2 linked regions of the Sus scrofa genome follow. The main gene of each other region encodes a partner of the protein of the gene in region 2 in a complex. Links are inferred from orthologs where the notes say so. Each region holds a gene or a part of one and is shown on either strand. Other genes may lie near its edges.

Region 1 (10,404 bases), on a different chromosome or scaffold from region 2:
TTCCATGTCTTGACTATTGTAAATAGTGCTGCAATGAACATCGGAGTACATGTGTCTTTTCGAGTCGTGGTTTTCTCTGGGTAGATGCCCAGGAGTGGGATTGCTGGATCAAAGGGTAGTTCTATTTTTAGTTTTCTGAGGAATCTCCATACTGTTTTCCACAGTAGTTGCGCCAATTTACGTTCCCACCAACACTGCGCCTGTGGCATATGGAAATTCCCAGGCTGGGGGCTGAATCAGAGCTGCAGCTAAGGGCTCTGCTGTAGCCACAGCAACATGGGATCAGAGACACATCTGCGACCTACACTGCAGCCTGCAGCAATGCCAGATTTTTAACTCACTGAGCAAAGCCAGGGATTGGACCCATATCCTCACGGAGACTACATTGGGTCCTTAAGCCACTGAGCCACAGTGGGAGCTCCTTTTCTGTCTTTGTTTGGTTTATGATGTCCTCCACAGAAAAGACAGTCTTATTTATTTCTGAACTGTCCTTCATTCCCAAAGTGGCATAGCAAGCATATCACAGTGCTCAATAAAATTTCAATGAATGAAGAATTATTTGCCTACTTACAAAAGAAAGTGTAAGAGTTACTTCTGATTAGAGTAAAAGACCATTCAGGCGATCATTCTTAGCACCTTAGCACAAGGCTCTATAGAAAGTAGGTGTGTAATAAATACTAAGTATTTGATGGTTCTGTCAGTGAACTATCTGAAGTAACACTAGGGATAGGAAATTTATTACTAAATCTACTTCTGTCCAACTGAGTGTCAGTGCCCTTGATCAGGTATGAGAAAATTAAGAACTGCTGGTTATAGAGCTAATATGAGGCTTTCTTTTCTTCCCTGGGTTGGGCCATGGTTCCAGAATCTTGTGCATAGTTGAGGCACCAAGATATGATGCTGTTGGGAGCAGGATGCCGTGGTCTACAGGAGTTGCTACCAAGAGTCTGCCATTTTTCCATCATCAAAAAGTCCACAAATGATAAATGCTAGAGAGGGTATGGAGGAAAAAAGCACCTTCCTACAGTTCTGGTGGGAACGCAGATTGGTGCAGCCACCATTGAGAACAGAATTGAGTTTTCTTTAAAAAACTAAAAATAGGAATTCCCATTGTGGCTCAGCGGTAAGGAACCCAACCAGTATCCATGAGGATGTGGGTTCAATCCCCAGCCTTGCTCAGTGGGTTAAGGATCTGCTGTTGCTGTGAGCTGTGGTGTAGGCTGGAAGCTGCAGCTCTGATTCGACCCTTAGCCCGGGAACTTCCATATGCTGCACATGTGACCCTAAAAAGAAAAAAACAAAAACAAAAACCAAAAAAAACCGAAAAACTAAAAATAGAGTTACCATATGATTCAGCAATTTTACTCCTGGGCATATATCCGGAGAAACTCTAATCTGAAAAGATACATGCGCTCCAATGTTCACAGCAGCATTATTTACAATAGCTAAGACATGGACAAGTCCATGGACAGATGAATAAAGAAGATGTGGTATATATACAAAATAGAATATTATTGGGCTACAAAAAGAATGAAATAATGCCATTTTCAGCAACATGGGTGGACCTAGAGATTATCATAGTAAGTGAAGTAAATCAGGAAAAGAAAGACAAGTATCATATGCTCTCACATATGTGGAATCTAGGAACTTATTTACAAAACAGATATAGATTCACAGACATAGAAAACAAACTTGTGTTTACCAAAGGGGAAAGAGGGGGAGGGATAAATTAGGGATTTGGGATTAATAGGTAGATACTACTATATATAAAATAGATAAAAAATAAGACCTACTGTACAGTACAGGGAACTATATATAGTTTCCTTTAAAAATCCATGATGGAAAAGAATCTGAAAACTTACATGTATAACTAAATCATTTTGCTCTACACTTGAAACATTGTAAATCAACTATAGTTCAATTAAAAAAAAAAAAAAAAGAGTTGGAGTTCCTGTCGTGGCACAGTGGAAACGAATCTGACTAGGAACCATGAGGATGCAGGTTCTATCCCTGGCCTCCCTCAGTGGGTTAAGGATCTGGCGTTGCCGTGAGCTGCGGTATAGCTCACAGATTCGGCTTAGATCTGATGTTGCTGCTATGGTGTAGGCCACTAGCTGTAGTTCCGATTTAACACCTGGCCTGGGAATCTCCATATACTTCGGGTGTGGCCCTAAAAAGCCAACAACAACAAAATAAATAAAAAGAGTCTTCCATTCCAGCTCACATGTGGTAAAGGCCCAGCAATAGCTTTTGCAGCTACCCCTGGTTCTGTCTTCCTAGGCACACCATGCAGCCACCCCCTCTCTGGGTGGTACTTCCTTTCTGGGAGCACAGCCCTCTCTTTTGCCTTTCTCTCTTGGCAACATTTACCTCTAGTAGAGGGGAATTGTTATGGTGGACAGAGGAGTACAGTGCTGACCTGAGATGAGTCTTCCTCCTCCTCTTCCTCCTCCTTCCCGTTCCTCTCCTTCCCCTTCCTCTCCTTCTCCTTCCTCTCCTTCTCCTCCTTCTTCTTCCCTGATTACCCTTTCACAGAGGTTGAGGCTTTTGTACAACAAAAAATCAGAAAGCCTCATCGCCCATGACTATTTTCCATCATGCATCATCCCCTGTCCTGAGGAAATAATTCTAGTATCCCTACTGACATGATTTAAGAGGAAGAGGAAAGGGGAAAAATACATAGAGAAAAAAACCCAAAAAACCCAAACCAACAGTAGATACTGTTATCACAGAACACTGTCCCAGTCATAGTAGCCACTTAATCTTTGGATCTCACCAAAATTGTGAGAATTAAAGGACAAAGTACTTTGCTTCGATTTAAAATAATTTTTGTTCCACGGACAGTAAGTGCTTAATAAATTATTATTCAGGGCTCCTCCACTCAGGGAAAGACCTTGATTTCTGTCCAAAATCCAGGACAATTGCTCCCATACTCAAATAGTGCCAGCTGTGTGAGTGATCTGTTCTCTATGCTCCCTGAGAAGAGTCAGCCTGGATGCTGGACCCCTTTTTTGATCTCCTTGGAGGTGGGGTTCCTACTGTACTTCAAGAGGATTCTCTTTCCTCCCAGCATTGGTTTCCCTCTCAAACCTCACTCCTAATCCCCACGAAGCTTAGCCACAAGTCCAGTTGATACCCCAGTCCTATTTTGAGTCCAGGTGTTGTGGTTGGCCTTTCTGGGAGCCCTGGGGCTAGACAATTACATTGAAATTCAGAAGCAGCATGCAATTTTTGGCACTGATATCTTTAAGTAAATTCAACAAGCATTTATCCAGCACCTAGAGCGTGTAAAATAAGCTTCCTTTAAATACATATGGCCCTTAACTATTTAGTCTGTTTTTGTCTTTTTTTTTTTTTTTTTTTTTTAGGTCCGCACCCGCGGCATAAGGAAGTTCCCATGCTAGGGGTCCAACTGGAGCTGTAGCCACAGGCCTACAGACAGCCACAGCAAGGCCAGATCTGAGCAGAGTCTGCAACCTACACCACAGCTCACGAGAAGGCCAGATCCTTAACCTACTGAGCGAGGCCAGGGATGGAACCTACAACCTCATGGTTCGTAGTTGGATTCGTTCCGGCTGCGCCAAGAAGGGAACTCCTATTTAGTCTGCTTTTAATTTGAATTAATGTTGAGCCATCCTTAAGGGTTTTACGAAGAATAAATATTAAAAAGAAAAAATATTTGCACAAATCTTTGCAAATATAAACTTCTGTGGAGTATTGTTGCTACAGTATTAATATTAATTGCAATAACACCACAGCTTCCCAGGCAAGCGTTAGGAGCGCAGCTGTAAGGCCAACAAGAACCAGACGGAAGAGGTCAGGGGAGGTGCCTTCGGCACGTCCGGCCCAGAGGGGCGGAGCTATAAGGAATATACTAAAATACCGCCCGTTACCCCGCCCTTTTCGACGGTGCGGCGTAGGCGGTTACCATGGCGATGACGTATAGAGGGCGGGGCGGGGAGGGGCGGGGCTATGGAGAGGAGGAGGAAGATGGCGGGAGGGCGGCTCTGAGGAGACCTCGGCGGCGGCGGAGGAGGAGAGAAGCGCAGCGCCGCGCCGCGCCGGGGCCCATGTGGGGAGGAGTCGGAGTCGCTGTTGCCGCCGCCGCCAGTAACTGCTGGACCCGAGTGGGAGTGAGGGGGAGACGGCAGGATGAAGTTCGCCGAGCACCTCTCCGCGCACATCACTCCTGAGTGGAGGAAGCAATACATCCAGTATGAGGTACCGGCAGCGGCCGGGGAGTGGGAGGACTCTGAGGGGCCACCATCTCCCCAGTCCTGACCTCCACCGCCGCCTTCGGCTCCTGCTGCCTCCCCGCGCCCGGGCGGACTTTGACCCGGTGCGGCGGGGAGCCACTGCGGCATCCCCGCCGCGGCCGGCCCCCTCTGGGCCCCGCTGACCTTCCCCTCCCCCGCAGCCCCGCTGCCGCCGGGGTAACGGATATGCGGGCGGCGGGCCGGGAGGGAAGGCACAGCCGGCCGGGGCTGGGGAATGGCGGTGGGAGGGCGAGCCGCAGGTGGAGGAGTCGGGGTGTGAGGGCAGCCCCGGGGTCGCGGCGGTTTCGCGCTAATCCCCTCCTCCCGCTCACCCTAACCTCGCGTCCCCACCCTGGGCGAGCGCCCCCTCGCCAAGGTTAGGTCTTGTTTCTCTCTGCTCACCTCTCACCGAGGAATCCTCTTCCGAGATAAGCCCCTCCAGTGATTTCCTTCATTCCACGGAGCCCTTCAGCTTTTCTTCACTTGCCCGCTGTTGACAAAGGCTTTGTAACAGGGTTGAAACTTGATTTAAATGTGTATTACACATGCAGTGGTTACACTATGCACACGTACCGTAATCAGCTATTTTGTTTTGATGAGGCTGACTTGTCTTTTCACTGATTGCATAAAGTATACAAAGTATATAAAACATCCTTATCTTTGTTTTTGGCTCTTCTCTTGTTTTGGGATGAAGGGGGAAGTGGAAGGAAGAAAGAGAAGGGAATTATTTACAATTTTCACATTTTCTTTCCTAAATTTTTTGTTATCTAGGGAGAAAAGTACTACATTGTAAACAATGTAGTTTGAAAACATACCTGTGTATTACAGAAATCATGGCCCGTCTCACCCTTAATTTCTGTAATAACAGCTCTTGGAGTGTATTTAATAGATAGTGATAAGGAACCTTGCATTAATAAAAGGAAGAGTAAAGGTGGTGAGCCCATTTAGGGATTCAGAAGCCAAGATACCTGAAGGGCTTTAAGCATTGCACTAGGTTATTTTCCTTAACTGGCAGTTCAGCTCCTGGATAGAGAAAGACTTATCTGTAACCTCCAGGAATTCACATCTATGTTATGTGCAGGAACAAAGAGTATAAAATCAATATGAACACAAATATTCTAGCTAGGTTTTATGAATTAAAATATTTTGGTTCTCTATTTAATTTCTATTTTAAGTTCATTGATAGGTGTTTAGGCAATAGTTTATTCATATAACAGTTGTAATAATTGAAGAAGACAGGGAAAGGGATTGTTAAGTAGGTTAAACAAAACCTTGAAGAACCTTGTAAAATAAATTCACCTTGTAACATACAGTATTTGATTATTGCCAGAAATGAAAGCCCGAAAATTATTAATGCTTTCTTTTCACTTAATTTTCTTACAGTGTTTTGTGGCTATGTTTCATGAGAATGAAAAAAAGGGACTAGCTTTTCACCTTGTAGAGGTTTTGATTTATTGTTTCTAATAACGTTTGGTCAGTTTAAAACCTTGGCTAGAGTCCAGATGATGGTTTTTATTGAAAGGAAGGTATTGGTCTTTCATCTCTCTAGTAGTAATTTTCAGCACCACTGCCAGTTCTTCATAGAAGCATAGAGCACAGCATGCTGAAGCAACATCTTATACTTGTTATGTAGTATGGAATGCTTCATTTGGGGAGAAGTAATGGTGGTTGGTTGTATGCTATGATTTGTTTTAAATATTACAGCACTCAGCTGTTTCATAGAATTGTATTAACTTGGAATACAATTTCTGGGGCTGGAAGGAGAAGCATAAGATTTAGTTTGAATACATAATTACTTCTTGATTTATAATGTCAGCTTTGTGGCTGGAGTAATTCTGGGATTCCTTATTCACATACTCCATTTGGACAGTAGTCCTAAGTGATTACTTTAGGTTGGTCACAGAGGAACAAAATTCCTGAGCATATGTGTGACTGCATTATCTTTCCTAGTCCAATTATAAATTATTTTTTGAAAAATTCATTAATTGGGGATAATTGAAATTTTATTCTGCAGAGAATTCCTACCATGTGACTCTTGACTAGGATAAGCTCATTGTTTGGTAGGCAAAATTAATAAGAAACACTTTTCTTTGTGAATTGGAGCCATTAAGGACATTTTTTAGAGGCTTGGGATCTGTTGTGTATTGTTTCTCTAGAACTGGTGCTGTTCCTTTAAAAATAGTTGAAGAGTCATAAATAAGAGTCTTTAGAGTCCAGGAATTTTAGTAGCTTAAAAACTTTGGGGAAAAAAAGGACATCATAAAAGATATTAGTATTTACTAGAGAAATGAACTTCCTTATAATGCAGTAACATGTAGTTTCTCATATATGAAGATGATGCTCTTGAAACACTGTTAGTAGAACAGACACTTGAATTTGCTTTTCAAGTACTGATGATGAAATTTCAGTGTATTGCCCCTGATTTCTAGCATAGGGTGCTTTCTAGTACTGTGAACCACGGTGAACTGTTCAGCTTCTTTGTGGTTTATTTCATTTTGCTATGTCAAATTTTACTTGAAATAAGCAGAGCTTCAGGTAGAAGCTGAAAAATACTGTTTTACATCTATGATTAGATGTATTATTGTGTACACACAGTCATACAATAACTGCTAGTTCTCATTTGTGCTTGTCATGAGGCTTTGAGGAGAGTCTTTTTGCCTTTTCAAGGTTCCTCTTTCATAAAATAAGAATATAGAGCCAGAGCTTTTCATAGGATTTTTTATTTAACTTTCACTGGCTTTTATTTTTTAGATTGTTAAAATTATTAATTTTAGTGATGCATCAGTATCCTGAAAATTATTAGTTTCTGATTTAAAAGTGAATTGTAGAGTTCATAGATTCAGTCTTCATAGACAGAATGATAAAACATAAAAGAAGAGAGCAACATGGAGAAACTATATGAAGAAAATCTGATCCATTTGGGAATAGTTTTTACACAGAATAAACACAGTGGGAAGAGACTGTCCCTGTTTCCAGTAATCTAGTTGAGTGTAAATCTTGGTTTATATTATAGAACATCAATAAATCTTTATAAGAGCATAAAAACTTAGAATCAGTGGCATCCGGGTGACAGTGAAACAAACAAACTGGCAAAAAAAATTTGGAATCAGTGATTGTATATTTTAGAGCTCTGTAATTGATTAATCAAAATTAATTTAGACCAGTTTCAGCCAAATAGAGTAGTATGACCATATTAATATTTTACAGAATACTAGCAAAAGAAGCAAATATATTTGGTGTTGTAGGCTGCTGACTTGTGTTTTTTTCCCTAGGGTCCTGTGCTGCTTTGGTTTCTCAGAAATGTGGCATTTTTTTTTTTTTTTTCAGTGTGCACTGTAGTTTTGTAAGGTAATAAAATAATGAGACATCTAAATTTCGGGATTTTAGAGTTTGAAGGGAATTTAGAGATTATTTGCCTTCTTGTTTGTTTGTTTGTTTGTTTTCAAGTAAGGAAACTGAGGTCCAGAAAGGTTAAATTACTTGTCCAGGATCATATCTAGACAGCTAGTCTCTTGAGCAGAAGGTGTGTAAGCTTTGGTAGTGAGGTCACCCTAACTGTGTGACCCTGAAGAAATCACTTCCTCTTTCTGGGCTTTAAGCTCTTCATCTGTAAAGTGAGAGAACTGGACTTGATGGTTTCTAAGCTCACAGAGCTCTATTTTCTAAGGACCATATAGCTCTAAATTTCTGTGCATTTTTTGTGGTTTGTGTTTGATATATGAAGAGGAGAGAACTTAAAGCATTATTGTTAATAGCACTTTTTTAAATTGTCACCTTTCAAAATTTTTTGATGATATTTTAATGTGTGAATGGAAAGCTGACCCAGTGAAACTTTTATTTAACTTAAATAAAAAATGATGGTCATAGATTAATTTTTTGTTGCAAGATTTTGGAAAAGAGAGATTCTTCATAAACTGTGTATCTTATTTTTAATTGCAAGGAAACAGTGCTGTAACGTTATTGTGATTTTCATTTATAGAACTCTCCCATGAGAACACTTGTGTTGCAGGCTTCAATTTCCCAAAGGTATTATGTTGATTAGTTAGGGTTAACTTGCCTTGCTGGAACTTGTTTTGAAATTTCCAGTTTGGCCACCCGATGGGGCACAAACCACACTTTTTCTTTCACTCACTTCTGCAAATGAAAATCCAGTATAGCATATTTAAAATAACACTTGTAAATGATTATGTCAGTAAGATGCTTTGCATTTCAGAATGTTTCTTAACTGAGTGAATGAGTGTTGTATAAGACAGAAAACTATTACTCTTCTTTATTATTTTTGTATAATAAAGTGTGTATCCTGTGTATTTTTGTATAATAAAGTGAGTATCCTGGAAAGATTATACTTGCCCTCCCATCCCTGAAGGTTGGTTTTGGATCAGTTTTTGGGTGAAGGCCCAGATCATAAGAACCTAAGAGTCTTATTTGACCTGGGGTGACCATGGAAAATCAGTCCTGGCTTCAAATCCAGTCCTAATCTGGAAAACATCTGAGAGACTGAGTTGTGCTGGCTAGAGATTTCAAGTATATTTGCATCATAGCCCCCAAAGGAGAGTACTCAAAACTCCCATGGAGTAAGAGAAGATAGTTGTTTTTTGTTTTTTTTTTTTAATGATTTTCATTTTTTCCATTATAGTTGGTTTACAGTGTTCTGTCAGTTTCTACTATACAGCAAAGTGACCCAGTCATACACATACGTATATATTCTTTATTATTTTTTAAAAGTGATTTTCATTTTTTTCCATTATTGTTGGTTTACAGTGTTCTGTCAGTTTTCTACTATACAGCAAAGTGACCCAGTCACACACACATATATATACATACATTCTTTTTCTCACATTATCCTCCATCACAGGTGACTGAAAATAGTTCCCTGTGCTATACAGCAGGATCTTATTAGAAAATAGTTTTAGAAATGTTAATTGTGTTTGTTTTTGTGCATAAAACAGAAAGAAAATTTTGCTAATATTGAATAAATGGGTTAATACAGTGACCTTGTTTAGGAGGTAGTCGGAGGGCAAACAGCGGTTAATCCAGTTTATGGGTACATAGTTAAATGAGTATATATGGCTGTTACCTAATTTTGACTAAATGAACCCTTATAAAATGGATGTGACTTAAAAAGACTCCTGTAAAGAAGCCTCAGCAGCAGTACCAATAATCAGGCACACGTGAATATCAAGAAAATGGCAGAGCTGGCAATTCTACTTCTAGTACTAGCTTTTTGTCAGCCAAATTATAGAGAAAACAGTGATACTTAAATAGATCTGACAGGAAGTTTGCCAGAATGTTTCAAAATAATTAAGATAATTCTTTGAAGTACTGTTTTGCATCCATTGTCATTTACAGTGAACTCCACCTTAAATAAATATGATATATTAGAGTATTTTGTCTTTAAAAGGTCTGTTTTCCAGCCATTATAATCAGGTTTCAAAATCAACTGAACCCTAAAGTTTGAACTAGGCCTTTGAAATACTATTATCATGAAATGTTAAACTAAAATTTTAAAAAGTAATGAATCTTTTCAGTTAGGTTGTTCTTTAAAAGTATTGTTACTGATGATAATTTCTTAAAGGAGGTTAAAAATATTTTAGTATTATTCACAAATGAAAGGTTAAAATTATTTATTTTATCATTGTCTCAGCTTTTAAAACTTCCATTAAAAAAAATCCTTGTTTTATAATGTAAACAGATGTAGAAGGAAATAATTTATAAATAAATGTACCTATATTGGAGGTGCATAGTAAGCTTTTTTTTTTTTTTTTTTTTTTTTTTTTTTAGTAATGATATGTTATAAAAAATATTTGGAAAATTTTGCTCAAGTTGTACTACTTAACCAGAGCTAGTTTGTGGGTTGCTTGGTATTTAATTGGCCTTTGGGACTGAGAAATTGTCAAAATTCTCTAGGTTTCTTGCCCAATTGTATTTACCTTTTCAGGTCTTCACTCTACCTAGTAAATGCTAAAAGAAGCCAAGTAGACAACACTCATGAACAAGTACTGTAAAAAAATTATTCATTCATTCAACAAATATTTATAGGGGCTCTACTCTGTGCCATGGGCTGATAGATATGTCATTAAATTCTAGTTCTTTTGCTATCTTAAAAATAGAAAAAACAAAAACCAGTATTTTCTTGTGTGTTTTTGGT
Region 2 (9,660 bases):
GTCCCAGAGCTGCTTTTCCCTCCGTCTCTCCGTCTGGGACAGCAGCACAGCATCTCCCCTGCTGTGAAAGCCCTCAGTCCTGCGCAGTAGTCTTTTTAAAAATATTATCGCAGCATAGTGGATTTACACTGCGCCTTAATCTTGATTTCTCTCTTTTCCTCACCTTCCACATCCACGCCTTCAGCAGGTTCCCCTGGCTCTATGTCCAAACCGCACCCTCTATCTGTCCACTTGCCTTCGTTTCCAGGTCCACCTCCCGTCATTACAGCAGTGCTGCCTTAACCAGGTCTCCTGTGTTCGCTAGTTCGCAGCGTGATCCGTAGAGCAGCGCATCCTCCGTGTGCTCCAAGACTGCCTCTGGCTCGCGGGATGCGTGCTCCCTCTTTGGTTTATAAGCACCTCTTGATTTAGTCTGGCCTCACGCTTTGTCCTCACTTGTGCCTCTCCCTCCCGTTTCAGTAGTTTGCAGCCATTTTAACCCTTTCCTTCCCTTTCTTGACCACACTGGGCTCGTCGCCGCCACAGGCCGCCTGCAGCTTGCTCTGCCTGGAACACTGATCTTTATGTGGCTGGCTCCTCCTTGTCCTTCCCATCTCAGCCTAAATGTCACCTCCTCAGAAAGGTCTTCTCCAGCTACCCAGTCTGCCCCATCACTTTCTCTTACATCACTGCATTTTATTTGCATGACAGTTAGTTGACTTTTTCTTTGTGTCTGTCGTCTGTCGGTCTCCGGGACTATGGATTTTCTCAGAGCTGGGTGGGAGCTTGTCCACCTTATTTCCCAGCGCCTGGAGTAATAGTCCATGGCGCAAATACTTAGACGCTTTTATTCATTTTCCAGTCTGGACCCACATTAATGCTAACGTTCTCAACTAAAGGGTGTCTGCTGGGGGTTTCTGTACACTTTTAACGTGGAAGTTAAGATACTTCAGCGTGGCGTCAGAATCCTCAAGGACCTGCACCTTGCTTTCCAGCCCGCCGGGGCCCCCTTAGGATTGAGACGAGCCGTAGGTGATGGAATCACCCAACCCAAACCCATGCGACTGGTCTGTGATTTAGCAGTTTAACAAAGGCCATTTGCAGCATTTGAAACCCGGGGAGATACAATTACTAGTGATTATTGCTTGGTGAATATAATCTCAGGGCAGAGATGTCCTTAGGAGGTAATGAGCTTCATTCGTCTCCGCCTTGTACTGGGGATGAGTCAGTCTGGTGCACTGCTGGCCTGCAGTGCCAGGTCCATAGGGTATAGGTGCTATTCTGGGAACCACCCTTCTCCCTTCATTAAACGTGGTGATAAACCCACAGATGGCTCTAGCTCTACAGCTCCTTTTTTTAGAATCCATGGCTTTTGTCATCTAGCATCATTCCAAGGGATTTGTGTTATGTAATTTCCAAATGCCCATCTGGTTCATTGACAGCCATGGGTCCTCTTATTCAATTTACATTTGAAATGAGAGGTTACCTGCAAAGAGAATGGCTTATTCTGGGTGACTTACCCTTTTAAACTTTTTGTCCGGAAATCTCAGGTATAAATGTCCTCATTTTGAAGTATAAAGTCTTCTATCCCTTATTCTGAAGGCTGTTCATATTGGTAACTAAAAACTTTCTATTATTTAGAGATAGTGTTTTTCCCCAAGGATTTTTCAGGAAAAAAAAATCTATTGATATTAACACGTGGATAATCTTCACTTCAAAACAGTGTTTTTTGTTTTCATCATCCCTTCACCTTGGTTTTTTGTCTTTTCAGAGTGGAGACACTGTGTTAATTGGCGCGGTCAGAGGTGGTCACGTGGAAATCGTTCGAGCGCTTCTCCAAAAATATGCCGATATAGACATCAGAGGACAGGTGCGTGTGAATACAGTGCTGTTTCCTATGGAGATAAGCTTATAAACCCTCATCTGTGTAATGGGAGCCGATTCTGTTGCTTCACTGCCATTATCATGGGATTTCTGTATTCGTGTCAAGTTAGACAGAAGTAAACCATAAAGAAGCTCAGGTTTTTCAAATACACCTCCTTTCCTTATGTCTAAAGAAATATCGAAATTCAGTCCTGAAGTGGGTGGTTTGTGCTGTGGAGACAGTCGGTGGCACGCTGAGTGTACGCATCCTGTTTTCTTCAGCAGCCCCTGTTTGTCTTTTTCGTCCGTACATTTTCCTTCTATTCCTGTTGTTTTATCTTTCTTCCCCTTTTTACCATTCTGTTAGCCTTTCCCAGGACCACTTGGTTGTGCCTGTGAACTTTGCTGAAGACAGTCAGAGCTCATAGAGCTGTAAAGGTTACCGATTTTAGGTTAAAAGCGTCTCTGAAGTTGTGAATTTATCTGATATGTCAAGAGCTTTAGATTAAAAAAAAAAAATCTTGCTTAACAGCCCATTTTGTGGTTGGACAGTCTACGTTTCTGCTCAGTCTTTTCCTTGCATTTAGCTTGTATCCAAATCCATTTTTGAATCAAAACAATAAATATTGTACCAAATGCCATGAGCCTTGCCTGTAAGAACCGTATATTTTAGTTAGGAAGGTTTTAGTTTGTTTCGTTTATATTTATTCTTAAGTTTTAATGTGACCATGAAAAGTGATGCTGCTTTGGAATGAGATGGTATGCGATTGATCGCCTAGTGAAAGGTTCCAGTGTACGAGACTTGACGTGGGGAAAGCAGGCCTTAAGAAAGCTTTCGAAGGAAGGGCGCATTTGAGCTAAGTTTGAAAAACAGGTTGGGATTAGGGAGAGAAAAGGAAGGCTGGGTAATCCGGCAAGGGTAGTGGAAGAACGGGATGAGAAAGCTCAGGAAAAGTGGACGGTGAAAGATTGTACTCCCCAGCTGGTGAATAAACCAGGTTGTCACTGGGACCGTGGGCAGCGTGGGACGAGAGGTGGAGGCAGAAAGGGAAGTAGGGCCAGAGGGGCGTGGGTGCCGCGCGTAGAAGGTTGGAAGCTGGCGTGCAGTTCTGAGAAGGGGACTCCGGCGAGGCAGCCTTGGTGCAGGAGATCTTGTGTGGCAGCAGCAGGAAGTCATTCGCCCTCTCTTGGGTGTTAAATCATCTTTTCGCTAAAAGTGGGTCACAGGAGCCCCTGTGTAGACTTTCATCTAATTCCTGTGTCGGTCAATTCTGGTTTCCTATGTTTTAGTCAGTCTCCCCCCCCCCCCCCGCCCCAGCTCTGTTTTCAAAGTTCATATAGATCGATTTTTGGTTTAAAACTAGAATTTTAAAGAATCTGATGAAGATCAGTATATGGGTACGGGGAGGAGATTAAGAAAACTAAAAATGCTAAAACGGTTCACCTTGTATTTGTGTAGTATTTCTCATGCATTATCTTTGAAAAGATTGGGCAGACGAACAGCCAAAAGCCAGGGGTCCGAATATTTACCTGATTTATCAGAGGATGCAAAGCTTGGGTACTGATGACTTCCGACAGGGCAGGGTCCTGAAATCTGATCGCGTTCCCGAAGCACAGCTCACTTATCAGCTGTGGGGGGTCGCTGCTTTTTGAGTCAGGAAATATTAAGTGTTCCTAGGCTTCTTCCATAAAGAATTTCTCACAAGTAAATGCAAGAGAGAATCAAGATTCCTATTTTCTCTCATGCTGCTGCTTGGTAAGATCTATTCATATTTTAATAGAAGTGTTAATAGTATTATTTTATATTTCTAAGTAGCTGTTTATAACATATTGTATATGAAGTGATTGTTGGTTTTTTTTAATTATATAGGACAATAAAACTGCTTTGTATTGGGCTGTGGAGAAAGGAAATGCGACAATGGTGAGAGATATCCTGCAGTGCAACCCCGACACTGAAATATGCACGAAGGTATACACTTCTCTCTTGTCTCAGCAATACTGAGTGCGAAATATTAACACTGCTTCTTATTTTCAGTTTTTACAGTGGTTTGATACTGGAATTATACTGGTTTTATGGTAAAGTTCTGTATTGAATTGAAGAGTAACTTTGTATCCTTTCAGGAGTTAGGTATTCCCAGGAGAATGCGTTGTGTAATTTGTTATTTTAGTTGAATACTTGCAGGAAGTGTGGTATCAGCTCTTCATAAATTCTGGACAGATCATTCCCCCAGAAATATTTCAGGCTCCTGTGGTTTGGAAGGCAGACCACGTTTCCTTTTGAAAGGTCCCTGTGAGTGACTCCCCAGGCCAACCACTTGAGTTTATTTTACTCAATTCATGTGGAAAGTGTAAAACTGTTAAGACTTGAGTCGTTATATTTGACGTCATGTGAAACAGTTTTCCAAGGGAGAATGTATTTGGAATTCTGGACTGAAATGGCAGGAATTCTTAACGAATAAAGCAAACTTATGAAATCACCCATAAAACCCTCTTATTTCATTTGCTGTAGATTTTGGAGCAGCATTTTCTAAACCAGTGATGATAACCTCAGTGCCCTCGGGAAGAGTGTTTCCTGGGGTATCTTCTGGTTTACAGGTGGTGGCTCCTGGGTAATCTTTTTTCTTTTTCTTTTGGACCATGTGGTTCCATGTGGTTTCTGAGCAACGTTGGCTTTTTCCTAATTCAGAGCTGAACTGTGGTTTCTTCTTATTCCTCTTAATTTGATTTCGAAAGCAATTGTGAACTCCTTGGAGGTTTTGCCAAGGCATGCCGCTTGTACGAGCCCGTTTGCCGTGTTGTAGACAGAGGTGCTGGTGTAGACATCTGACAGGTCCAGATGCTGGCTCGCCTGGACATTCGAGGCTGGGGGCTGCGGCGGTTGGTGGGGAGATGGTGAGACAGGGCAACAGCCTCTGGAGGAGCTGCCCGGATGGCGGATGGTGTGGGGACCTGGGAATGGCAGGAGCAGCGAGCCCAGGGCAGAAACGACTGATAAGTGATGGGCACATCCCGTGCCCCTGAGTGAGATAAAAGTATTGTGATACAAATGATTGGCTGGGAAAGGAGAGGCACTTGCTTGTTAGTTTTTCAACTATGTTTTCTTGAGAACGTTTTCAATATAGACTTCTCAGATTATTTGAATTCTTGACATGTGTGTTTATGTGGCTTAAAACAGTGAGGAATAAAGGTGTTAATCCAGCAACACCTTCTTATCTGTGCCCACAGGATGGTGAAACACCTCTTATAAAGGCTACCAAGATGAGAAATATTGAAGTGGTGGAGCTGCTGCTAGATAAAGGAGCTAAAGTGTCTGCTGTGGATAAGGTAAGCATCCAGGCAGGGAACGTTTTTCAGAGGGCTCTTGGTGGCCTCGGGGGGGGCCCGATTTTACTTCGCGGAGGGAGAGGTTTCTTGCTGGGGATATCCGTGTGGGATTTGGATGCCGTGGTATCTTGATAGTGTGCTGAGGAGTGGGCGGCTCAGCGTGCTGTGAAAGCGGCAGCTCTAGCTGACCTGCCAAGGCTCACAGCGGCTACAGGGAGCTGCACTGACCACATGCAAGGAGGCTGTCCCAGGTGGGGGGCTTGTTGCGGAGAAAGGGGCTGGAGAAGATACGCTCAAAGCTGCCTGGCGCTCACGTTCACTGGCGGGGTGGGGGGGGGGGACAGTGTTCTGCCGTATGTCCTCCTCTTCGTCCTTTTATTGAAATGTTCATGGGAGTTCCCGTCATGGCTCAGCGGTAATGAACCCGACTCGTATCCATGAGGATGCAGGTTTGATCCCTGACCTTGCTTAGTGAGTTAAGGATCTGGCACTGCCGTGAGCTGTGGTGTAGGTCGCAGATGTGGCTCGGATCTGGCGTGGCTGTGGCTGTGGTGTAGGCTGGCAGCTGTAGCTCTGATTCGACCCCTAACCTGGGAACCTCCATATGCTGCACGTGCTGCCCTGAAAATTCATATAACTCATGCATTCGCTGCAAAATGTGAAAAGTTCAGATTTTCTGTGATTTTATAGAAACATGAAAATTGTACATTCCATGTGTAAACAACGTGACTGGTCGGGTTTCCTGCCCCTGTGTTGCAGAAAGGAGACACTCCTTTGCATATTGCTATTCGTGGCAGGAGCCGGAAGCTGGCGGAGCTTCTTTTAAGAAACCCCAAAGACGGCAGGTTACTTTACAGGCCCAACAAAGCCGGCGAGACGCCCTACAACATTGACTGCAGCCATCAGAAAAGTATTTTAACTCAGATATTTGGAGCCAGTAAGTATGGGTTTTGTATCTGAGATTTTAAGAAGTGACTGTCTATGAAGAAATTGAGACCAACGGCAATTTGGCATGTACTGCTTAACTGGAGCTAATGCAAGTTGGGGAAGTTACTATTTTACTGTGGAAAAATAGCTTCTGACTGTCCGAAGCTCTCTTGCATTGTACTCTGGCATTCTGAATTAAGCGCATTCAGAGTCAACAGTCAGCTTTCAAGACCTCCAAAAATCTTCCTGCTTTTCTAAAAATCTTTTCCCTTGTTATTCTCACAGGTATACTTTTATCAAAACGTGCTCTCTCTTCCGAGCAGGCCTCAAGCACTTCAGTTTGCTTGTGCTGTGCTCTCTCTGTCCTGTGAATGTTCTGGTTGAAATCTCCTCTCTCCAAGGCTGGAGTCACTTGTCTCCTTCTCAGTGATATTTTAATTGATCAGCCTCACCAGATAAAATGTTTGCTTCAGGAGTTCCCACTGTGGCTTAGTGGTAAGAACTCGACTAGCACCCGTGAGGATGTGGGTTCAATCCCTGGCCTTGCTTAGTGGGTTAAGGATCCAGCATTGCCATGATCTGTGGTGTAGGTGGCAGATGTTTTTGGCTCAGATCTGGCTGTGGCTGTGGTGTAGGCCGGCAGCTCTAGCTCCAATTCAACTCCTAGCCTGGGAACTCCCATATGTCATGGGTTCGACCCTAAAAACAAAACGAAACAAAATTTGCTTCATTCGCATACTTAAGCACTTGTGTTTGTTTTTCCCTTTTTAAAACTTATTATATGTGGCCTTTTATTTTGTTTCTTTTAGAATTTTCTCCCTTCCAGGTTTCAGGTTCTTCGGGACAGGGGCTGTTTCTTCTTATCGTACGCCCTCTGCAACATCTAGCATAGCCTGTTGAATATTGTACTAAAATAGTTTTTGATTGAAAAGGATGCACATGAGAATGTAATCATTTGTATGTGGTCTTTTGAAACACGGAACAATTTTCTACTAGAATTTTTTAAAAAGAGACATTTTGGTCTCAGAAACCAGCAGGCGATAGTAGAGTCCTGTCACTTCTCAGTTTAGCTGTTTACTTACATCTTGTTTTTAAGTCTGATTCTATTGCATTATAAGTTTTTGTATTTTAAAATATTTTTTTCTGAGGATAATAATGCACACTTTTTTTTTCTGAAAATACAATAACACGCGTTACATTTTAAGGATGAAGACACAAATATAGTAGAAAGTGCAAATGTCCCATTGTCTCTTATCTCCCAATTTGTAGTTGTTTGAATGATTTAGCAGGATTTTCTTTACATTTCTAAAGATGTTTTGTGCTATTATATAGCCTTAAAAAAAGTGAGTGATACCATATCATAAAATTTTTAAATAACGAGCTATACCATTTTTAAATTGTTGCATGATCTTTCATTCTAGGTTCTGATGGTACATTCAGTTCTTTGTTGATGAGTATTTGTTCTACTATTAAAAGCTGGTGCTGCAGTGAAAATCTTTGTGCATGTATCCATTAACAATCTTTTTTGAGACTATTTTCTTAAAATAATCTAAACTAAACTCCCAAAAGTAGAGTTGGCAAGTCAGCGGCTGTTCATTGTTTTGACAGACTTTATCCAAAATGGCTGCAACAGTTTTTTCCTCCTTGGATCATGTGTGATAGCGCAGTTCCTTATAACCTTGCCACCGCTGGATATTGCCAGCTTCCTTAATCTTTGCCAATCAGACCACTGAGGAAACATTTCGTTTTAATGTGCCTTGTGAAATTATTATGAGTAAAACAGAAAAATTGAGATCTTTTAATATGTTCATGTGTTTTTGCTGTTTTCCTCTCTGTATCCTTTGCCTGCTTTTTTCTTGAGTTTTTCATATTAAAAAAATAATTTTTGTGACTTTACATATTGAAGATATTGATCGAGGGTCCAGCCTACATGTTGTATCTGTCTCCCCGGCTTAGTCTTTATTTATGGGGATGGGTTTTTTAAATTCCCTATCCCAAGGTTATATAAATTTGTGGTTTATTTGTTGGTCTTTTCCTGCACTCTGGCTTTAGTATTATATTGAGAAAGGCCTTTTCCACACAAAAATTTTAATAGGTTTTTCTCTTGTATTTTCTTCCAGTACTTTTAGAGTTTTATTCTCTGGATTTAATTTTTTAATGTTTCAGAAATTTATTTGGTTAAAGCCTAAGACATAGAGTTTTAACTTCATTTTGAGAATAGGTGGCTTACTTCTCCCAACACCACTTATTAATATATCCTTTCCCCACTGATTGGAAATGCCACTCACGTCACTATCCTGTGCAAGTTCTGTAATGTTCTAGTTATTGCAGCTTTAAAATGTATTTTGATTCTTCTTCAGAGACAACCACTTTTGGTAGTCTTAAAACTTTTTCGTAATGCTTCTTATATGCGCTTCCTGATTCTTCACAGTATTCTCATGGATTTTTCTTGGAATTGCTTTAAAGTGGTAGATTAATTTGGGGACAATTCCTGTTTTTAAGTCATTGAGCCTTCCTGCCTGGAACTGCAGCCTGTCTCCTTTTCTCTGGTTGTCTATTAGGCCTTCACTGATGTGATAGAGCCTCTTTATGTAGGCACTGCACACACTGAGTTGATTCCTATGGGCTAGTTTCTGTTTTCATCATTTTATTGATGCTAAACCAATACCTTATTCCACATTTTAGCATCTCTGAAATTGGAATATGTCTTACGATTGACGGGTAAGAAAGCATTATGTCACAATTTGGCAGCATTTTTTTCTTTCTTAGTTGTATGTAATAATGATGCATTTTATAATTATAGGTATCTTAAGTTCAATGAAATATGGTATTAACTTAGGAATCTCTGAAAATATTTTACACAGGTCTAACCATTTACAAAAGTTTTTTTTTTTAAAGATCCTATTTATTTATTTATGTCTTTTTAGGGCTATACTCATGGCACATGGAGGTTCCCAGGCTAGGGGTCAGATTGGAGCTGTAGCTGCTGGCCTACACCACAGCCACAGCAACGCCAGATCCAAGCTGCATCTGTGACCAGTATGTACCACAGCTCACGGCAATGCTGGATCCTTAGCCCACTGAGTGAGGCCAGGGATTGAACCTGCGTCCTCATGGATACTAGTCAGATTCATTTCCACTGAGCCACGACGGGAACGCCAAGGTTGTTTCCCTCTAACTAAATAAACAAAAAATGAGGATTGATGTTCCTTTCTAATAGTAATGACTTTTTTTTTTTTAATGTAAGGATACGGTGTGTTTATAATTGCAGGACACTTGTCTCCCACCGAAACAGATGGTGACATGCTTGGGTATGATTTATACAGCAGTGCCCTGGCCGACATTCTCAGTGAACCCACCATGCAGCCGCCCATTTGTGTGGGGCTGTATGCGCAGTGGGGAAGCGGGAAGTCCTTCTTACTCAAGAAACTGGAAGGTAAAGGGCACGTTTGTAGAAAGTCTGTATATTTAATGAAGTTTTCTCTTGGGTATTTTTTTAAGTAAAGGAAAACCGAACTGTGTATCTAGGTATATCGTTGCTCCTCCACACAGTCGGTCGTTAGAGTC

What was found. The genes of interacting proteins can lie anywhere in the genome.
Region 1: the proteins of KIDINS220 (region 2) and XPR1 are in contact, whole or in part, in a cryo-EM structure (PDB 9JXQ), measured with the Homo sapiens proteins. The link is inferred for Sus scrofa from reciprocal best matches to the Homo sapiens genes KIDINS220 and XPR1. Residues at the interface, in NP_065789.1 of Homo sapiens: Glu36, Cys37, Gln39, Asp70, Trp72, Met102, Trp105, Trp110, Tyr113, Lys114, Val138, Ile142, Trp143, Gly146, Arg147, Ser166, Asp167, Lys168, Tyr169, Gly170, Trp176, Arg179, Lys180, Gln198, Glu199, Gly200, Ala201, Ser203, Lys234, Arg267; in NP_004727.2 of Homo sapiens: Leu95, Lys189, Lys190, Gln193, Glu197, Ala200, Asn204, Glu205, Ala636, Asp637, Asp638, Leu641, Leu642, Gln644, Met645, Met646, Asp647, Gln648, Asp649, Asp650, Val652, Arg653, Asn654, Arg655.

What each region holds. Positions count from the first base shown.
Region 1 is NC_010451.4:122,233,993-122,244,396, forward strand, and holds the start of XPR1 (xenotropic and polytropic retrovirus receptor 1), read left to right. Parts: upstream 1-3,961; 5' UTR 3,962-4,152; coding exon 4,153-4,221; intron 4,222-10,404. UniProt on the Homo sapiens protein: Inorganic ion transporter that mediates phosphate ion export across plasma membrane.
Region 2 is NC_010445.4:127,409,807-127,419,466, forward strand, and holds part of KIDINS220 (kinase D-interacting substrate of 220 kDa), read left to right. Parts: intron 1-1,750; coding exon 1,751-1,849; intron 1,850-3,712; coding exon 3,713-3,811; intron 3,812-5,067; coding exon 5,068-5,166; intron 5,167-5,925; coding exon 5,926-6,103; intron 6,104-9,364; coding exon 9,365-9,529; intron 9,530-9,660. UniProt on the Homo sapiens protein: Promotes a prolonged MAP-kinase signaling by neurotrophins through activation of a Rap1-dependent mechanism. Provides a docking site for the CRKL-C3G complex, resulting in Rap1-dependent sustained ERK activation.